Caenorhabditis elegans: one gene and its partners. The protein of the gene in region 1 purifies or fractionates together with the protein of each later gene. This does not show direct contact. Each region holds a gene or a part of one and is shown on either strand. Other genes may lie near its edges.

The links.
Region 2: the proteins of ZK550.6 (region 1) and memo-1 fractionate together in Caenorhabditis elegans (co-fractionation; one large-scale study listed by BioGRID). This does not show direct contact.
Region 3: the proteins of ZK550.6 (region 1) and ddo-2 fractionate together in Caenorhabditis elegans (co-fractionation; one large-scale study listed by BioGRID). This does not show direct contact.

What each region holds. Positions count from the first base shown.
Region 1 is NC_003282.8:17,259,005-17,265,739, forward strand, and holds ZK550.6 (putative phytanoyl-CoA dioxygenase), read right to left. Parts: upstream 3,482-6,735; 5' UTR 3,473-3,481; coding exon 3,326-3,472; intron 3,133-3,325; coding exon 2,883-3,132; intron 2,863-2,882; exon of another isoform or gene 2,842-2,862; intron 2,565-2,841; exon of another isoform or gene 2,541-2,564; intron 2,497-2,540; coding exon 2,315-2,496; intron 2,042-2,314; coding exon 1,903-2,041; intron 1,606-1,902; coding exon 1,385-1,605; 3' UTR 1,303-1,384; downstream 1-1,302. Other genes in the region: phyh-1 (phytanoyl-CoA dioxygenase), read right to left, coding at 1-77, 127-263, 311-368; F26D10.13 (CaMKII_AD domain-containing protein), read right to left, coding at 5,293-5,469, 5,541-5,795; str-187 (Seven TM Receptor), read left to right, coding at 6,575-6,735. UniProt on the Caenorhabditis elegans protein: Converts phytanoyl-CoA to 2-hydroxyphytanoyl-CoA.
Region 2 is NC_003283.11:7,842,898-7,850,329, forward strand, and holds memo-1 (Protein memo-1 homolog), read right to left. Parts: upstream 4,097-7,432; intron 3,717-4,096; 5' UTR 3,640-3,716; coding exon 3,586-3,639; intron 3,272-3,585; coding exon 3,198-3,271; intron 2,847-3,197; coding exon 2,679-2,846; intron 2,633-2,678; coding exon 2,564-2,632; intron 2,512-2,563; coding exon 2,399-2,511; intron 2,350-2,398; coding exon 1,841-2,349; intron 1,788-1,840; coding exon 1,722-1,787; downstream 1-1,721. Other genes in the region: grd-8 (Ground-like domain-containing protein), read left to right, coding at 182-254, 298-514, 566-695, 740-1,018, 1,142-1,402. UniProt on the Caenorhabditis elegans protein: Plays a role in the oxidative stress response and the maintenance of longevity by regulating the interaction between GTPase rho-1 and oxidase bli-3. In turn, this serves to modulate bli-3 activity and the control of reactive oxygen species production.
Region 3 is NC_003283.11:7,431,399-7,437,902, forward strand, and holds ddo-2 (D-aspartate oxidase 2), read right to left. Parts: upstream 3,635-6,504; 5' UTR 3,629-3,634; coding exon 3,447-3,628; exon of another isoform or gene 3,442-3,446; intron 3,205-3,441; coding exon 2,995-3,204; intron 2,950-2,994; coding exon 2,829-2,949; intron 2,725-2,828; coding exon 2,555-2,724; intron 2,511-2,554; coding exon 2,393-2,510; intron 2,336-2,392; coding exon 2,231-2,335; intron 2,182-2,230; coding exon 2,083-2,181; 3' UTR 2,069-2,082; downstream 1-2,068. Other genes in the region: F25E5.8 (S39A8 protein), read left to right, coding at 4,544-5,032, 5,288-5,506; F25E5.9 (uncharacterized protein), read right to left, coding at 6,108-6,395, 6,450-6,504. UniProt on the Caenorhabditis elegans protein: Selectively catalyzes the oxidative deamination of acidic amino acids. May play a role in the egg-laying events and early development of the worm, in addition to quality control of the germ cells.

The DNA of each region.
Region 1 (6,735 bases):
GTAACCTTCTTCGCAATTGACACGTCCTTCATGACAAGCATATTTGGCGGAGGCTTCACTTTACGTTCGCAAATCGCCTGAAATGTTTGTACTCAATTTTCTGAATACTTTCTGAAAAAAACCTACATTGAACTGGTTTTCGTACTTCTTCAATTCGTCCTTTGCAACGCATCCTCTCACGAGAAGAAATCCATTTTTCTGATAGAACTGTTTTTGTTCCACACTGAGAACCTTTCCGGCGCTCGAGAAGTCCACAATGGGCTCTGAAAATTGCCGTAAAAAGATCGGCCCATCGATTTTCAAAACTCACTGCTTGCAAATCCACGTGTCGAAAGAACCACGAATCTGAGAGATTTCATCAGAGACATGATGAAGATGGTAATGATTATTTTCAAAGTTCAATTTTCTCTTCCCCCCCCCCCCCCTTCTTATATTTTTGGAAACGTGGACTTTTGGGCATTTGACGGAGTTCGCGTTTTTTTTCAATTAATTTTCATAACTTTTTTGCTGCGGTTAGATTTTTTGGAAATTATGGATATTATTGCTCATTATCTTTCTTTTAACAGTATGCTCAAAAGCATTTTAATTCTATCTCGGAGCCATTTTTAATGAAGGTTTCGTGCGGATTTTTCAATGCAATGTGTAAATACAATTAAAATTTTTAAAAAATCACCAATTTTCCCCCGAATGTTTCAGACGATTCTGAAAACTTCCAAAATTATGTCAAACTTGGCAAAAGGTTCCAGAATATTCCAGAATACAGTGTTCTATCGAGTTTTTAAACTGATTTAGAGCATTCCATAATTTTGTCAAAGTTTCCAGCAGATTATAGAGCGTTCCAAAATTTTCTAAAATTTTTCAACTTCTCAATTTTTAGGAGGTCCTAGAACAATTCAAAATTTTCTGGAATTCGTCAAAATGTCCTAGAACATTCCAGAAATTACAATCAAAACGTGAAACTCGTAGCTATTTTTTTTTTGGTCGACATCCAAAATACGGATAAGTGAAAACTGGTTTTTTACGTCTTTTTTTTCTGAAAGTTTTATAAATTCAATAAACTAATATCTGACATCAAAACAAATAAATATTTTAACGCATTTCTGTAATTAATTCTCGTTTAAATAGTTCTGAGTTCTGAGCTTCTGCCCAAGTCTCGCTTATTTTTAGTACTCATTTGGAATTCAATGTAGCAATATTATCAAAGTTAGTGGGAAAAAAATTGTGCAAAAAAATGTTTTGACGAAATTGTTCACGTATTTATGATTTGTTTTTTTTTCAAAAATTCAAGAAAAAACTCGCTTTCAAAATGTTAATTTATTAACTGAAATACATTACAAAAATTATCGACAAACTCTGATCGATTTCACAGTTTTAAACATAAAAATCACAAATTAGATCTGCGCCCATTGACCTCTCTGGCGCGAACCCTCCAAATGTCCGCGAAATCCAAGGTTACAGTATTCGGGTCGAGACCATATCTTGTCAGACGCTTCTTGGCGATTTCGATGATCTCCTCTGCCAATGTCTCTTGAGTTGTACCCTCGACGTTTACATAACGGCAGAGGTCGTCATTTGCGTAGTGACAGGAGATCGCTTTGCGGAATCCTGAAAAAAATTTTGTTTTGCACCGAAACTCCCGTGTCCAACGCATTTTTGTAGCTGGGAGTTCTCAATTTAAGAAGAATTTGAACTTTTAAAAATAAATTAGTATTTACTGCGAATTTTCATTTTTTGTATAAAAACATTGAAACAGTAACGAAAGGATGGGAAAATTTGTGTTAGAAGCAAAAATATCTTTTTTAGAAGAGTTTACCGACAATTGTGAGATTCATAGTTTTTATATCAAAGCATTGAAACAGTAATTTCTTGTTTAATTTTTTCCAAAGTTTCAAAAATGGTTACCTTCAGTTCTATTGGCTCCGGAACCATGAATAAGAATTGGATGAAAGAATACGGTATCTCCGGGTTCCATTTCCACGTGGATACGTGGCGTCGACGTGTCATAGTCCTGGATTCCGTGATAGGCTTTGTTCACACCACCCTGAAAATAAGGAACTTTTTGAGAGCGAACTTCAGACGTGGACTTATGCGCAAGCTTAAACCTAGTCTTCGGGTAATCCTGAAGCTTAGACTTACGCTTAAGCTCGGGCTCAAGCTTAGGCTTTTTCTCTGTCAAATATTAGCTCGCTCGTTTAGCTGTTTTTTTCTCAAATTTTCTCAAATTACTTAATTTCAAGTTTTCAAACAAGAATTCAACGTGGTAAATAGCTCTGCCAAAACCAAACCAAACCAAAACTCAGCTTAGCGGACTTACCTCCCATTTCGGGTACTCGTGTGGCAAAAGAACACCTTTATGAGTTCCGGGAACAACAACCAGACATCCATTTGCTCTTGTGATCTTCTCCATTGCGGTCCAAGCACAACAAATAAAATCTGCTGGACGGAATGGGAAATATTGAAGATCTTGGTGCATTGGGTGCCGGGATGTTAGTTTTCCTTAAATATGATAATTAGAACTTGATTATTAAATGTTCTGTAATTTTGTTCTGTGAACGATATAAGCAGTAAACTTCTCAAAATACTTTCATTTTTTGAACCGATTTTGAAACAGTAGAAAATTTTGAATTTTTTTCAAAATTTTTTTGAATTACTGATTTTCGAATTTTCACAACTCTTTATAGACTATTCAAGATATTTTACGTTCTTCAATTTTTTTACAGTTAGGAGTGTGGTTTGGCAAAACAAATAACAATTTAAGATAATTTTGGACATGTTTCATAATTATCAAAAAAAAATTTGTTTCAAACTTTTTTATTTAACGTGTCTTATTTTAATTAACATTTTCTAGTAAATCCTAATACAATTTAAAGTTCAAAACTTACCATTATCTGGTGGTTTATTGATAAGCATTGTATGCATTGCCATCAAATTCGACTTTGGATTTCCAATCAAGTCCTTCACCACATCGACAACTCCCGGATACTTACAGTACTCAAAAAGAACTGGATCATCTGCAAAATCCTGGATCTTGGTGATCGCCTTCTCACCGTCTTTGAATTCGGATTTTGCGATGGAAATGTCTTTCATGACGGTCATGTTTTCTGGAGCTTTTACTTTTTTCTCGCAAATGTCCTGAAAATACATTTTTAGAAAATTGTGACGTCACAACTTTGTAAAAAAATTCGTTGCAGTCAGGTTGAAAAATACTTCGACGCAAAATTAAAAATTGTCGAAATAAAACTGAAACTTTAGGCCCCATCAATTTTTGTGGACTATTAATCCCAGCCTATAGTCAAAAATTATGCAGCCGGGCGCATTTGCTCACCTGAAATCTTTGTCGGAACCTGTTCAATTCGTACTGTGGAACACAGTTTCGAATCAACAGATATCCATTTTTCTCGTAGAATCGCCTCTGCTCGGCACTCAAAATTGACCCTTCCCGGGTATAATCAACGACACCTTTGCCAAGCATTTGGGGAGCCTGGAATTTTGAAGTAGATTATGGAATCGCTTTACGTTTAGACGTCATAGTGATATTCTCAAAAATTAGGCAAAAAATATCGTATTTTTGAAACAGTAAATTTATTTGAAAACTAGCTGCTGATCGCGCCTCCGGCGCGGAAGAAAAAACCACCAAAATATTTCTGAAGAAATTTGAATTTGCACCAAAATTTTTCTGAACAAATTTGAAATCCCACCAAAATTTTCAGAAGAAATTTGAATTCCCGCTAAAATTTTTCTGAAGAAATTTGAGTTTGCACCAAAATTTTTCTGAAGAAATTTGAATTTGCGCCAAAATGGGTCTCATGCGTTGTGACGTCACGGAAACAAACAGACAAACGGAAAAAACTAACACCCTATTTTTTTAAAATATATAAGTAATGATCACTACACTAACACAATGTGAATTGGAAGGAATGAAAATTGTTATAAAATTAGTGAAACAGTGAAAATTTTACATTCATTATTAAAATCGGTATTGTCTATAAATTGACCGAAATTTTTTAAATTGTTTTGAACAATTAGAACAGTACCGAAAAAAATGAAACTTAATGTTTAAACATCACGATATTTTTTATCGATATTATTATCATAACATGTTATTGTGACTACAAAATTAACAAAATATATGAGGTACATTTACCTAGTTTTGGAACAGGAAAGAGAATCGGATCATTTCCTATTATCATCCAATGCAATATATGATAAGACAACTACAAATTGATCAAAATAGAATTTATAGGAAATATCCAAAAATTCCTGGTAATACTTCAATGTTTCTAGAAAAATTGTATACTAAATTTTTGAATTTAGAAGAATATATTTGAAACGGTAATTTTACAATTCAGAGTAAAAAACAACAATTCGTAAAACCTAAATAGCAAATTTTATAAAGTTATAGATTTTAATACTAAAATAGATTTGAACCTGTTTTGTTGAAACGATAGTTTTTTTTTAAATTTAAATACGACACTTTGGTGTTTTTTTTTAAATTATTATTTTGAAACAGCAATTTTTGAGGAGAACTGTATTTTGTCTAGATGTTTTTATTTTATTTCACTGAAACACAGATTTCGCGACAGTTCGAGCGGAATTTTTAGGTGAACATATTTTTTTAACACGTACGTCATAATGCAGGAAATTGAATTCAATTTTTTTGAAACAGTGAATTTTTTTTTGAAAATTGTATGAAGCCACAACTGCTATGAAGCATTATTTTTAAGAATTATGCTTTCAGGAAGCAGTAAAAACTTGGAACATCTATCAAATCAACAATAAAAGTGGAATCAACATGGATTATCTCAAATGACACGAACACAACACCGCAAAAAATGAGAAAAGCGAGGGAATTACCCGTCTTATCACCACGCTCTCTCATTGCATTTTCTTAATAAATACAAGTCTTGTTGAATAGAGAAATAAAGAAAAAAAGAGTGTCAATTGCCACAGTGTACCGTTATCGTACACCTTGACACCAGTTGTTGTCATGACCATATGATAAATGATTAGAGATTGAGAAACACACATTTTTCAAATTTGGCACGTTCCCTGATGCATGCGGATATAGGGATTCTGAATAGATTTTAAAAAAATTTCAATTTGTAATTCAAAAATTTACTGTTTCAAAATTTACTGTTCATCAAACATTACCTACATCTAGGCTTAAGGTGAAAGATTTTGCTTTTTGTAATAACGAGATTGCATTTTTTTAGAGATGTATAGAATTTTCAAAATATTTTAAAAAGATTCTTTATTCATATATTTCACATCATGATTCCAGATTCGAGATTTTTAGAAAATCTTCACTGGACACTTTTCGGTCGCCTTCATGATCTTGACTTTTGGTGCATCTTGGAAGTAAATAGTTCCCTCGGCCTTGTAGAATTCGTCGTTCTTAAGAAGAAGGAACTCCTCGTAGTCGAATTTGTAGTTTGCGCCGTCTTTGGTAACTTTACTGGTGACAAAATGCTGAAAAATGGGATCTTGTTTGCCAGAAAGCAACAAAATTCATAAAAGTTTTCCGAGCTTCTGAAACTTACATTACTCTTCTTGGTGGTTGACATATTTGGATCCTGCTCCAAAATCTTCTTCAAATCTTCCACACTCTTTCCGCTAACCTTACAGAACTTGAAGTTGAAGTTACTGTCATGCATGCTCAAGAACCGCTTGATGTCGTGAGACTCCAGTGCCTTATCCAACGACTTCAGAATATTCTTGGCATTGCCGATTCCGGCAGCATTGATTTGAACAGCAATGCAGGCGACAAGGAGAAGGGAGAGGATGAGCTTCGACATTTTCGGATGGAGAATGAAATTATTGACACTTGGAATGCTTTTAAAAGAAAACATGGTGAAGCGGAAGTAAAAACTGATGGGAATACAGAAAAACTGTGTCTTAACTTGCTGGGAACCAAAATTTGGAAGATGTGGTGTTTGAACAGTAAAACGTGATGTTCGCAAAAGAAACATTTGAAAAGAGAGAACCTATCTGAAATGAAATTGCTCGTGAAATGTGAAACATTTAAACGTTACTGTTTCAAGAGCAAATTTATATCAAGTGAGTGATATTAGTATCATGACCGCAAAGGAAAAAACCGGCCATCGTTTTTTTTCTCAAATGGGAACCCATTGTAATGAGTATCTAGATAACTGGATAAATGCCATTTGACTAGAATCTGGTGCCAAAGATTTCAAAAATATAAATTTCAAAGTTGTGAATTTGTAAAGGTGGGATCGTTTTTCATGAAAATTTGAAAGCTACTTACTCTTCGAAAAATCCATTAGTTATAATTCTAACAAAAATTAATTATAATTTCCTGCAATTTTTTGTAAGATGAATAGCACTTTAGCAATGAAATGAATCACCTGTCCCTAGTGGCAGCTGAGATGTTCTAGACACGATCATTCCGACCGAAACGCTAATTTCGCCTTTGTAACCATCAATTTTCACGGCTAACGTCAATAGGAGCTATAATTTCTCCTGAGAATTGTTATCAGCTTCGCTCATTTTTTTTCTTCGTTATTCGTCCTTTTTACCACTTTCATATTTTTTCCAAGTTCTAAAATCCCAAAAAATGTTCACAATATATCAACTTGTGTGCACAGCTATTTCATTTCTCCTAAACTGTTTCCTGGTTTGGCTTATTCTCAAGCATTCACCTCAACATACTGGAAAATACAAATGGCTAATGATGTATACGACATGCTTCGAGATCTTTTGGGGCGCATTTGATTT
Region 2 (7,432 bases), on another chromosome or scaffold:
TACACTTTAAGATTGATAAATATTTGAATCAGGTTTATTTTGCACTATTAAGGCGTGTAGGCACTAGGCCGGCAAAGCTCGCCTACGGGGAGCCTTACAATCAAGTATTATTCATGAAGGTCTTGATTTGGTTACAGAATTCCATCTAAAATTACTTATACAAAAACATGAAAAATTTCAGTTTGCCCCGCCATCTGAGAAGATTCTTCAAGCTCCACCACGCTATTTAACTGGAGAACACAATCCAGCTTATGGTAGGCCCAATTTTTTATCTGATTTTCTAAATTTAACTTCAAGCTCACAATACCGATGTGCAAGGAATGAACTACGCTGAGTACAAGCAAGCGATGGCCCCACAACCACATCCAGTCGATGCTTATTCTCCACCACCTCCTGCACCAATGGTCCCACCGGTTACTGTAGTTGAACCACCTGCAATGCCGTATGAAATGACTACGATTGCATCTGTTGGACCACTTACTACTCCCGCATCAGTCGGCTTGAAGAAGGGAAAGTTTGTGATTTTAGTTAATTGATCTTTCAAGTAATTGGATACAATTTCCAGCATCGGAGGAATTGCTCAAAACTTGAACGACAGGTACACCAGCTTAACACCAGAAGCTCAACGTGCTCAGAAAGGTCATACCTATACGGCTCTGGGCGGTGGACAATTCTATCAAAGTTTACTTGGAGGGGTAAGATGCAAGGTTAGAACTTACAAACTCAATTCATTTTACAGAAAGGAGGCCCCGGAGGATTCTCCCCACTCTCGTTCTTTCTAAACGGCGGTCTAGGAGGTACTGGTGGTGGTGGTAACAATGGATTCTTCGTTCCGGTGCCTGTAGTCATTCCGCCTCCACCGCCACCGCCACCAGGACCAAACTGTTTCACGAACCCGTCGGGATTCCTTTGCTGTAACGTGACACTTGAGAAAACTATGGAAGACGCGTACCTGGCCGCAAAAGCAGATGGTGCATCACTGTGCAATGTACAGAAAATGGCAACTGCAGTGCAAGCGGTGGGGTTTATGGATTTCATTTTATAATGTAATGTGCTCTTCCCTAGAATTGAATAAGCTTACAACTTGAATTACGACTTGAATTACAACTTGAATAAGCTTAAAATATCCACCAAATTTCAGCAAGCCGAAAAAAAATTCGGAACAACTTTCGAATCAGTCGCTGCTCATTCGGACTTCGTCGCAAAAATTAATTTTGCCGGTGACCTGAACTGTAAAATAGAAATCGATGGGAAATTCATACTAGCGTACGCAACTCCAATCGCCGAGCAAGAGGTGAACATTGTCGATGCTAGCTCATTCTTCTCGGGAGCTGCTGATAAGGATTTGGATGGTGTCAATGGTACCAAGCCCACCTACATTGTCTACGGTCCCATTAAATAATGGAGGGTCTAGCTTTAAAGATTTCTGTATATTAAAGCTGAAATGTGAATTAATTGTTTATTTGCCAATCACAATAAAGTTGGAAATATCATTTGAATAGTTCGAAAGTTTTCAATCGGAATGGGAGAAAATTCGAAAATTTAGGTGGAGGTGAAAAGTTGATGAAGTAACACAATTAACTGTGCTCGAATCCTGAATAGAAGGAGAAAAGAGCCTATAAACAGATTTTCAATTTACACATATTACACAACAATTCAGGAAGAAGACAGTAGTTGCAAAAGAAAATACGTAGAAAAAAGAGTGAAGGACTGGCGGGATGTCAGTTTGGATGTACAAATAGAACTCCTGAAGCATAAGAAACAGAAGAATCGACCGATGATCGAACCTGAAATGGATTTATTGTTGATTGAAAAATATTAAGCAATTCTGAATCTCTACCTTGTTTGATTGTGTGTAATGCAAGAATCTAAACTCGTGAGTGTGATTGTTACTGATCCGGAAATGTTCGGCTGCTTGCAGCATTATCAATATCGGATTACGCCCACAAATCGTGTTCTGGGTCTTTTTGAGGTAGTCATTAAAAGCTGCCGGATTAAGCGTCTCAATTGCGCTCATTCCCTGCTTATCCATATTGGTTATCTGCTCATAAATCGGAATAGAACTATGACGATCGTACGGAGAAAAGCTGAAGCGTTCTCCCCAATGGCAAAAGTCCGAAGAGATCACAAACAAGTTTCTTGGATCCTCCATGTAATGAGCAAAAATATTTCCATACGTTTGCTGCCTAGATCCTGGTAAAGATCCAACAAGTACCGGAACAATGGTGTAACGTTTTGAACCCATAACCTTTGCAATAAATGGGAGTTGCATTTCAATACTATGCTCTGATTCTTCATCTCGGCGATCCATCAAATCGAAATGACGAGTGGCACGAAGCTCCTCGTTAACTGCAAAGGGCAATGTTGTAAAAGATGTACTAAGAGTGCAATAGATTACTTTTGTGATCAACGATCAAGTCGCCGAGTGGAGTTCTGTACTTGCTGCATGTGGTTATAGCACATCCATTTAGAGCAACAACGTGAGATGGGCCAAGAATGAAGACTCTTTCACTGAAAGTTATTGAGTAAGCCCTGTTGCCAAGTACAAATTTCAACAACTCACACTGCTGATGAAACAACTTGTTTGAAAGCATATGCAGCTGTTTCTCCACAATACGAATATCCCGCATGTCTGAAAGTTATCAGAAAATAAATATTAAATGCATTTAGAGTATTACGGTGAAATCAACGCTCGAGCCGTTCCAATCCGTGGACCGGCGTTGTCAAGCCATTTTGTGAGTTGCCGATCAAGATCTCGCTGGTTGGCGTTGTACCATGATCCGGCATGTGAGGCAGATCTCGTGTGCTCGCCGAATCCGTTTAGTGACATTTTAAATTCAGATGGTCTGAATATTAAAGTTTTGATAAATTGTTGTATACGACTTGATTAATATGTTTAGTAGGGTTTTCAACTACTGTGTGTTTCCCAAATAGTCAACATTGAAAAATGGAAAAGTTTGAATTTAAATATTCAAATAATTTTAATTAATTAATATTAAAATTCACAATACAGTGTAACATCACACTTAATTCAAGATGTTCTAAAAATATGAGCCATCGGGCTAGCTCTACTTCACGAATTCGAATCAAGTCCGGGGAACTGGCTCGAAAGAAAATAAATTTTTAATTTGGTTTATGTCCGAAATAGAAATGGGAATCTGGTTTTTCATTCTGAATAATTTCCGAGAAACACTTACAAAATAAAATTCAGATATCTTGCAAAAGGAAGGCCAAATGTCCTGAGAAATAGAGCACGAGAGTTTTGAAATACCTGCAACAACAGGATTTGCTTCTATTTTGTTTTTTGAACTGAATTTTAAACTATTATCTATTCTGAAAACATTTTTTGTCCAAAAAAAATCAAGAACAATTTAGAGCAAAATGTGGCAATCCGAAAATGTTGATGCAACAAAAAAGTGTTTTTTTTTTCATTGAATTTCAGTTTTGAAAACTGATTTCTTTCCAAAAAAAAAACGAAGGAAAATTTTGAGAAAAAAGTGAAAATCCAAAAATGCTGATTTTGGTTTTTTTTTCAAAAAAAAAGCATTTTGCAAAGTGTGTGCTTTTTTTCGAAAGTTTCAGAACCTTGAGACAAAAAACCAAAATTGTGTTCCCGAGTGAAGCCCGCCACGTGGACATGGTCAGACGAATCTTGTTCGTGTTCGCAGCCAATTTTCATTTTTGCTGAACGCATAATTGTTCAAAGAAGATTCGGTCTAAAAAGACGAAATTGAAATAGATTGTGGAATCCTTTGAAATTTTCTTTTGACAAAAGGTCACCGTTATTCAAAAATTGAGATGGTCTCGTGACTAAAATTAAACAATCAAGATAATCATGATTGTGGGCCTGTTTTAAAATACACTTTTCAAAAACGAAATGTAGGCTCCAATCCAAACTGCGCATCAAGACCAAGAATATAAAATTTTTAAACTCGGGAGACGTAGAGAAACTTTGAATATTAAACATCGCCGTCAAGTTTCCGTCAGAGCGCGCCTGAAATTTTTTAGAGGCTTCTTTCAAAAAGCTACCCATACAAATAATCATAAGAAAAACGTTTTAAAACTTTGCATTCCACCCAAAAATGTCTGAAATTACCCGTAAAAAGAATGTGTGAAGGGAGTGATTTGAGGGTTCTGTCAAACAGTTTGACTGTTTCGCGTTCGACGTGTCTCGACGTGGATGGTATTGAAGAGGACCGCGCTGATCTTGTGCTGGTCGTCGTCGTCTTGTCGGACCGCCGCGAGTAGTCTTCAGTCTACCAATTACCTGAAAATTTGACACTTTTTGTGATGTGAAACTGGCTGCCTGAAGCAATGCCATATAATAATCATAATAATAATAATGAAGAGGGATGAGGATGCATGCCAAAAGAATGAAAGGAAAGACGCTCTTCTACAACACCAGCCGATAGTATTTAGAAGAAAAAGAAGACTAAAAAGAGAGTATTGGGTGATGGGAGAAAGAACACAATAGGGGAGGCAGTGAAATAGAACGAGAACAATGGAATCGGCAGACATTTGACACTAGAGGGGCCACTGTTTCAGTCTTTTTCGCACTTGAATATTGGAAGAGGGCCAAGAAGGGGAGTTCCAAGAATGGAAAAAGTGGTAGGTTTGTAGAAAATCTGCCTTTTTTTTTTTAAAATTTCGTGTTCACTACTTTATTTCGTGTTCACTCGTTTATGTCTTCCATTATAGGCAGGCAAAGTTTCATGCCTACATACCTGCCTCATGCCTATTTGACTTTCAATATAAAACTTGATTTTTGGCATTCTTCATTTTATAACAATTGTAACTAATAATAAGCTTTGCAAAGTTTTCTGAAAGAAATTGTCTAAATTTTCCTGGTACACTGAACATTTTTCGGTATAAAATCTATGCGTATCAAGCCTATTTCTAAGAGCCGTAAGTATTTTCAGCTGAAAATGTAAACCACGGAGTCAATATTTACTTCGTATCATCCATCTTCCATTCCGTCTTGTTTACACCTACGGCAGGTATTTAGACACGAATGATTGTTTTTCTCGTTGCCTAATACTTTTTCCCCCGAAATATTCCCATATTCCAGTTCTGAACAATGCACTTTTCAGCGGTCATCGGGTCCATCCAGCCCTCATTCAGCCCTTTCATTTATCTTCGTTTCTACTTTTAGACGAAAATGCAAAAAAAAGAGAAAAAGACACTCTCTTTTGACGCTCACATTCGCTCACATTGCTGTGGTAGAAAAACACTCACTCGGTGGCTGCTGGGAAGGGAAAACGAGAAAATGTTTGGTCACGCAATACGCCTATATCTTTGATTTGACTTTGAATCTTTATACATTTTTCACGGGGTTCAAAAACAATTATGAAGAAAATTGTTTGATTAAATTAGAATGTAGATTCTTTATATTTTCAATCAAAAATTAATTTTGGAAAAATAACTATCCAAAAAACGAAAAAAGTAATAAATGAGTACTTGAAAGTGAAATGGGGCAATTAAACAAGATAAAAAAGACTAAAACGTGAGACATCTCACAACGGGTCACGGGCAAGAAGTACACGAGAAATCGAACGTGAGTGGGGAGGCAGAGACACTCAGCTGACTGCCTGGCCTGACGCTCGCTCACAAAACGCTCTCACTCTCTTCCTCGCTTTGCCCGCTCTCCGCCCCGGGTCGTCAGTTCGGTCGATCCATGTTTGTTCATTTTTATAGGTGAAAATTTATGTAAGGGAACGGAAAATGTAAAGTGATCGTGGGAAAATAGAAAAACAATTACATTGTAACTTTTCTGGACCAAGTTGTACCCAGATGCAATATGTATATTTTTCTCAGAAAATACTGTGTTGGGTTTCGACAGGATCGATTTATCAAAAGCAAACGAGTGTGCGTCTCAACGAGCACTAAAGTTCCCAACTAGAGCATCCTTGTTGTGGTAGAACTACATAGAAATTTTTAATTTTGATTTCAATAGCTTTTCTCTTGTTTTCTCAAAATTTATTGAAAAACTTATTTACTATAAAACGACCAACGACGGATCTGGAAACTACAGTACTCCTTAATGCAAAAGGCAACGAAAAATCAGCCAGTGACTTATTTTTTGTTCTGGATAAAAATCGGGAATATTTGCATTTTGAATTCGCACTGTATCGATAAACAAAACACCGAAGATCACGCCAAAATGACTATTGTAACTAACAGGTACGAGAAAGGGACGCTTGTTCTACAAAAATAATTCAACAAATTTTCCCCAAAAAAATGTGAAGTCCGCAATTCTCGTAGTTTTACGTAAATCAAACCGAGCATGACACTCTGACACCACGTGCGCCTGAAGATGTGCCTGCCTACCATGGATGCTTTACATTTGCTAGTTCCATGACACCCCATCCTTTCAGCTTCCAAGATGAAGGAGTTCGGAGAAAATTCGAAAAAATATTGAGAAAAATAACCCAAAACATTCTGAAACATTGCGGAAAAAAGTTAGAAATTATGTCGAATATATCTGAACCAATCAACAATTTCAAATAAAATACAAAAAAAAATTGGAAGACCTTAAATAGTCTCCGCCCATATTTTGGCTTCAAATGACCGTACTTCGGAATATGGCCGATGGCCGTGGCAAGACCTCCAATCGTAGTTTTGAGCGGTCAGTAAGTGAAGATTAAAATAGGAACAGTACCGTAAGATCAGCCCAGGTGCGGATGTGGGATAGAGGAACTGAAAATAATCGAAGAAGCATGATAACTAAGCCACGTGGCCACGTTCGTTTTTGCGATGTTAATAGATCGCCACTTCGTCCATTGTCGTTTTGTTTGTACTAAGTCTCCTTAGCAATTCTCTCGAAGGCGGGCCATTGCTATTAGTAAAATAAGCTACCAATTTTACCTTTCAATACATTCATTCACTGATGGTTTTCCTATCAGGTGATCATTTTTTTGTTCTTCTCAATTACACTATCTAAAAATGATGAAGTTTTTGCTTCGCGGCTATTTGGTTGAAGTGATGATATATCCATTGATTGTCGTCTCCACTTGTGCTCTTTTTACGTCTTACAACTTCTTTTTAAGTGTTTTGCGTATTCACTGTTTCATTTATTTTTTGCAGAAAATGAGCCTGTTCAGCAAATTTTTCGGAGGCATGATGCAAGAAGCTCCGATTACTCCACAAGAATCTATTCAAAAACTTCGGGAAACAGAAGATATTCTTGAGAAGAAACAAGAATTCTTGGAGAAAAAAATTGACGACGTAAGTTGGAAGATCAGTTTTGGTCGAATTAATCACATTAAAAAGTGCTGAAATCGAAATTTTTAAACTCTCGAGTCTCAAGTGACTGTGACGTAATTAAAACATTGCTCAGCATTTACATTGTTTACTGACGTCTTTTCGAAGTTTAGTCGAGCAAATCCAAAAAAGAGCAATAAAAATTTCTGCTACGATACGTTTGGGAAATTGG
Region 3 (6,504 bases), on another chromosome or scaffold:
TTTTAATAACATATGGATTTTTGGTACGGAAATTTTCCCCAATTTTTCCAATGATTTTCGTCTTTTGCTTTTTTTATCTGTTCTTGTTTGAAATTCTCATTTCAATTAACTTCTGTAAAATTTTTAAATCTTTTCCCGGAAAGAAAATGACTTTCTTTCTCAAAAATTTGAATAAATTCCTAAAATGAACTAAAATGTATCAACTGTGATTTTTCGACGCGCTTCAGATTTTTTCCAACTTTTTAAATAGAGAGAACAGCTTGTGCCTAGAACAATGTAAAAATTGCTTTTGAATAACCAGCGTAAAATACAAATTACATGACACATTATGTGCCGCCAAAACAACTCCAGAAAATTGCTATTATGTTGTCTAGTATGCTCAATATCTGAAAGGCGCTTCTGCTCAAACAGTATATTTCAAAAATGGATCAACAACTAGATGAACAACTTTTCGTTATTATCGATAAAATTTTCATTAAAATTTTTCTAGTTCAATTTATAATTTCTATCGCTGGAATCATCATAAATATTTCTCATGTATTCATATTAACCAGAAGCTCTATGCGAACTTCAAGTACAAATTCCCTTATGATTGGAATTGCGTTATGTGATGTTATTTTCTTAACGGCAAATTTAAATGATTTGGTACGGAAGTATTGGATTTCTAATAATATTTGCATCAATATCGAATCATATTTATTTGTTGTGAGCCGCCAATGGATTTTTGATTTTTTGAGTGACGTTTCTGAAAAGTCATCCTTCTCATTTGGTGTAATTCTTGCATTAATTCGTCTAGTTATAATGAAAACTACTGGGCGGTTTGAGAACTTCGCAAAACCTATCACAGGTTGTCTTTTGTCTCTAATGATTTTGATTTTGCTCACATTGGCATCTGGTATTTACTATGTGCAATTTTACATTCAAACGTCAAGTTTTTGGAAGCCACCAAAAAAGTCTGCATTTTCAAAACATAGAAAATCAATATTCAAATTCCAGGTGCACAGGATATGCAGCAAAACACACATAGTCAATTTATTCCCGGGAAATTGAAAATAGTGAATTGCCAGTAACATATTCAGCGGAGTATATCGAGTGAGTTTTAAACAAAGCACATTAAAAACCCAGATAATGCAATTACTCTTCCAGGCCCCAATAAACATACTATACCCAATTTTGGCATTGTTTTTGATGTACGAAGTTTGCAAATCAGCTAAGTTTGCTTCTGCAAAATTGAGTCAGAAAACAGCTCTTGAAAGGTATGAATGTTTGCTCAACATGGCTACGAGTTGCCAAATAAATTGTGTTGCCATAGTCTCAAATAATTATTCTAGATCGCACCTTTAGTAGAGACAAAACTACATGGCAAAAGTAGACAACTGGAGGTTGACTCCTAAGCAAGAACAGCAGGAAATAATGTGTTAAGATGGCAAATCACCAGATTTTAAACGGAAATTTGCTTTTGTGGTTCAAAGCTATTTTCAGATACCATTCTGCCCGTATGATTTTGGTAATGGCCGTGTTATATTTCATAGTCGGCGCACCAGGCGGTGTCCTTAATTTTCTCACACTTTTCGTGGAAATAGACTTCGGTTCGATTCTTATCATACTTGTCACCTATGCGCCTGTATACATGTCAACTTTATTTTGTTTCAACGCAATGTCCCACTTGATCAATTTCTCAATGTCCTCCAATTACAGAAGAACAGTGAAGGAGATGTGGTATTTTGGAAAAAGTAAAGTAGTTGTCACCCCGGTGAATTGAGTGTTCAATAATGAACGAGAAATTAAAAAAATTCAGGCGACTAGGAGCAATATCGCATAAAAATGTTAACTATGTGATGTCTATTGTACCTCCTGAGACTTTTCTAATCGGAGAATTGCAAATCGATGTTTAATTTTTCAACATAAAGTTTTTAGATATTTCCATCATTGAATGGAAACAAAAATCATAATCAGATTGCATGCTGTTGTATCTACTAATTGAAACGCATATAAAAATTTAGTTGTTTTTTTAATTATTCTTATGACCCGTCGAGTCTATTGAAATATAACCTTAATTTACTGAAACCCTTGAACAAATATTTATAATCCTAGTGCAGTCTTAACAAGTTTAGTTGCTTCAATTGCTGTTCCCCAACCCAACGTGAATCCGTTGCTCCCGTGACCATAGTGATGCACAACCTTAAATCAACATTTTGAACACATAAAAAAAGATAATTGTGATACCTACCATATAATCTTTTGAGTTTCCAACAGATGTCCTCTTCTGCGCTTCAATTCTGACATGCTTACGTCCCGGGCGAAGTGCTGACCATTCTTTGATAATCTTTGGCTCCTAAATCATAAATCAACTTTTTCAATCAACTTAAATTTAAAAAAAACTAATTCTCACTCTCATTCCAGGATGTAAAGCAATGTATCGTTTCAAAATATCATTTCTATCCTCGTCGGTGATCTCCAAATCCCATCGATTGTCCTGCTTGGTGGACCCAACCACCACGCTGTGCTCTCTAAAGATTTGGCACATAATATTAATTTATCGGCTTCTACTCACTTTGGAATTGTGAAAGTAGTAAAGTCTCGATAATTGAAGTGCTTGTGCCATGGTGCATCAACTTCCAAAATGACTCCTCTAATGGGGTAGCAAGTATCGTCATCACCAGCCAACTTTCCACCGTACAAGCCTGCGCAGTTTACAATAACATCGTAACCAGCGTCGGCGACCTAGAATGAATTTGTTAGACATTACTCTCCAGGTTATGATGGGTATGGGTTCAGAAATAAGGGAGGGGTGATCTTGTTTTTTGACTTCTCGGTCGCCAACTTACTGCGTCCAAACTCGTCACTTCTTGTTGCTTGAACTCGATTTTTTGCTCAAGCAGCAAATTCTTCAAATAAGGCACGTACTTGTTACCTTCTGATGCGTAGGCGGTGTAGTGAATGCAGTGCCTGAAAGCCACAGTATAGCAAAAGATGTGACGCTAAGAAGCCCACTTTGATGGTTCGGGAAAAATGTCCAGCCGTTCTCTATCATCCAAGAATCTAAAGTTGTACACAATATCGCCATAGGCTCTTTGTTGTTGCTTCAATGACTCCAAGTTGTCGGATTGAATATGTCCAGAAACTAATTTCACGCCGGTTTCGGATCCTTTTGTAGTGCGATAGAGATGTGAGAACCAGGCGAAAGAAGCACGTCCGTATTCACTAAAAATATTACGTTAAAAAAAATATTTTGGTAATAAAATTATTTATTCTAAAGCTATTAATAGCATTTTTGGCCCGTGGCAACACTTTTCTAGGATTTAATATTTTTTTTGTAATTAGTTTTTAATTTGAAAAAAATAGGACTATAAAAAATAGGATAATCAAGCAAGTTTGGTTATCTGTTTGTTATGTTATTCCAATTTTTTCAGAATTTTTTTTATTTATTTATCAAAGAACCTCACGTATTCTCCTCATAATCGATTCTAAATAATCCTGCTGGTCCTGCACTGCACGATTTTTTAAATGGTTTATCGTGGAGCACAGTTATTTTCGCATTTGGTATAGCTTTTGATATTTGAAGTGCTGAAGTACATCCAATGACTCCTTCGCCGATAATTGCAATCTTCGGAATTATGTTTGCCATTTTATTCTGAATTAATTAAGAAATGAAGAAGTCTTTGTTTAGAAATTGCGAAAATATAATAGGAAAATGCGTAGATTTTTGATCATGATGAGAAATAAAGTTCACGTTTGTTAAAATGAACTCACTTTTATACACTTATCTGCTCATCAAAGAACGCACATTCCGACCTCGTGGCTGCTCTCGATAATAGCTGAGAGAGTGGTGAAATGCGAGACGCAGCCAGTTAGAAGGGTTGAAAAATGAAGAGACTATGGCTGAACGGGAGTGAATAAGGCTCCAAAAAACAAAATTCACAGTTCATTTTTTGGATAAGATTCTTGAAACGATGGGAGAAAAATTTTGATGATGATAAAGTTGAAAAAAACCGGGATCTTAAAGGACAGAATTGCATTCAGAATTTTCATTCAGGGTCTTCGTTTTTCTTTCAACTTGTCAATATTTTTTTATTCAAAATGTATATATTTTCTATGCAAAAAAAAAACAACTACTGGGATTCTTAAATGCCTAACAACCTAATTGTAAGGTTAATTTCAGGTAATTTAATGAAAACATGAAAAAATGTACTCTGCCTTAAACAAATATCAGTGATCAACGAATTAGTCAAAACAAGTCCCAAATTATAATTTGAATTAGCACGTACTCAAAACACTCCGGTCAGATTGAAACGTTCAATGAACGAAAGTACCCATACTATATATCTTCTCAAACCCTCCTCCCGCCATCGAAACCAAAGAAGCAAGGACCCCAAATGGGCGGGATTTGGTGACACAAAGAACGATAAGACGGTATTCTATATAACATAGTCATGCGCTAGCGGTTTTGAACGGTATTCCACACTTCTTCGATTTTTTTTCTATTTTTTTAAATGTTTTATTTTTTTTTTTTTATTTATATGATTTTCAGAATCATTCTCAAATGAAAGTCCCTCACGTCATAGCTGAGCTGGTTTCGGAGTTTTCTGGATTTCAGCACACTCCAGATTTTAAAGCGTCAAGGTCAACTGGAAACTTTGAGGAAGGATCTGAAGAAGGTACATCTGGAAGCCATAAACCAGAAGAACATCACCATAAGGAACATCATGGACATTCGTTGTACTTTGGAAAACATTCTGGTAAAAAGCATTTGCCACCGGTTGTTGAAAACGACGGCGACACACATTCCAATCACAGTGATGTGTCCGGGTCGGGATCCTCATTAAAAGAAAAGAAGCATCACGGATTGACTGCTCATTTCAAAGATCTATTTCATATTGGGCACCACCATCATCATCACGGAGAGCATCCACACTCGAAGCAAAATTCTGGAGCTTCTACGCCGGCAAGGAAAAACTCGACTGGAAGTGAATGTCCGTGCTCGAAGCAAGAACAATGTCACAAGCATTCGATTAATATCACTGTTGGAGCGGTAAGTTATCTTTTTCTTTTTAAACTTTTTTTCAACTTTTAGCCACTAATTGAAACATATGCGCCGAGAGTCAAATGCAAAAAGGTTGTGTAGCCTAGAAAAAAAATGTTGTGTAGCCTTAATTTCTCGAAAGTTAAACGCTTTAAAAATCTGAAACTTTTCTGACACGTTAAAACTTTCACCTTATGTGTTTTTTCTATTTTATGTTAAGCTTCAAACCCAACCATCTCGGATCAAAAATTTTCAATTTTTCAGGACGAAGTTCCAACGGTTCTTGCGACTCCACCAAACGAACAAAATATCCTTCATGCTCATTTTATCAAAAACCAATCGCCATGCATATCACGAGTAGTCAGCTCAAGCTCACTGAAAGAAAAACTTCATAAAATCAAAAGAACTACCAGTTCCGACAGCGACACTGATTTCCCTGAGAAAAAGTGTTCTGTAGCTTCATATCGAGTTGTTACTCATTGACCAGTTTTAGCTTTTATGTGAATCAACTCAATGTAAATAAATTTATTTGAAATTAAAAGTTGTTACACGTGACCAGTCCAAACAGTTTTATGCGCAGCGAAAAGATAGGAAATCGGTCAACAAGGCCAAACCGCATTCGCGCATTCTTTTTCTTTAGAATTTATCATTTGACTATCGATTACACTTTGATAGGTTTTTAAATGTGACCAGGGCCACATGTGATGATGAAGGTGAAAAGCGAGAAATGGATATAGTCATGCTGCAAGGTTCAAATATTGTTTTCTAGGTAGGAAAGGGGAGAGAATATTTGGAAGTTGGAAATAAGGAACTGCAATAAAGGCCTTCAGCTAATTTTCATGGCAATCTATTTTGTAGACTTGGTATCTTATTGAAAATACTTTTTAAAAAATTATCTAACTATTTTCTTGTAATTTTAAAGAATAATCTCAAATTTTGTAATTGCAAATTAGCTCTGAGAATAGTCCGAAAGTCGATGTTAAACAATTATATTATTTTATTTTTATAATTTTATTCAAATTTTGAGCAATTTTCTTTTTGTTTTCTTTGCTCACCGATCACTGGGAAAAAATTCCATTTCAATTTATCTGTTCAATTTCCGATTTCCTCCTTTTTGGCAATCCTCGCCGGGCTGCATTTCCGTAATTGTACTCTTCTCCGTTCTTCTTCTTCTTGTTCTTCTCTTCAACAGAACCACTGAAACCAAAAAAAATGAATGTGGAGCACACATGCACTCCTCAATTGAGAGAGACGTTGGCTTGGCTCCTCCGCATATAGCACATAAGTCTCGACAAAACGAAGAAGACGGAAGACGAAGAAAGTAGACACAGAAAGAGAGCGGACATTCATTCAAATCAATGGCGCCGTTTCTCTTGAACAAGTGATGAGAGAAGAGGGGGAAGAAGTGAAAAAGGCACTCACTTACATGCACACTCTCACGCACATGCACACCGTCAGCAGGGCTCCGCACTTGGAGGACG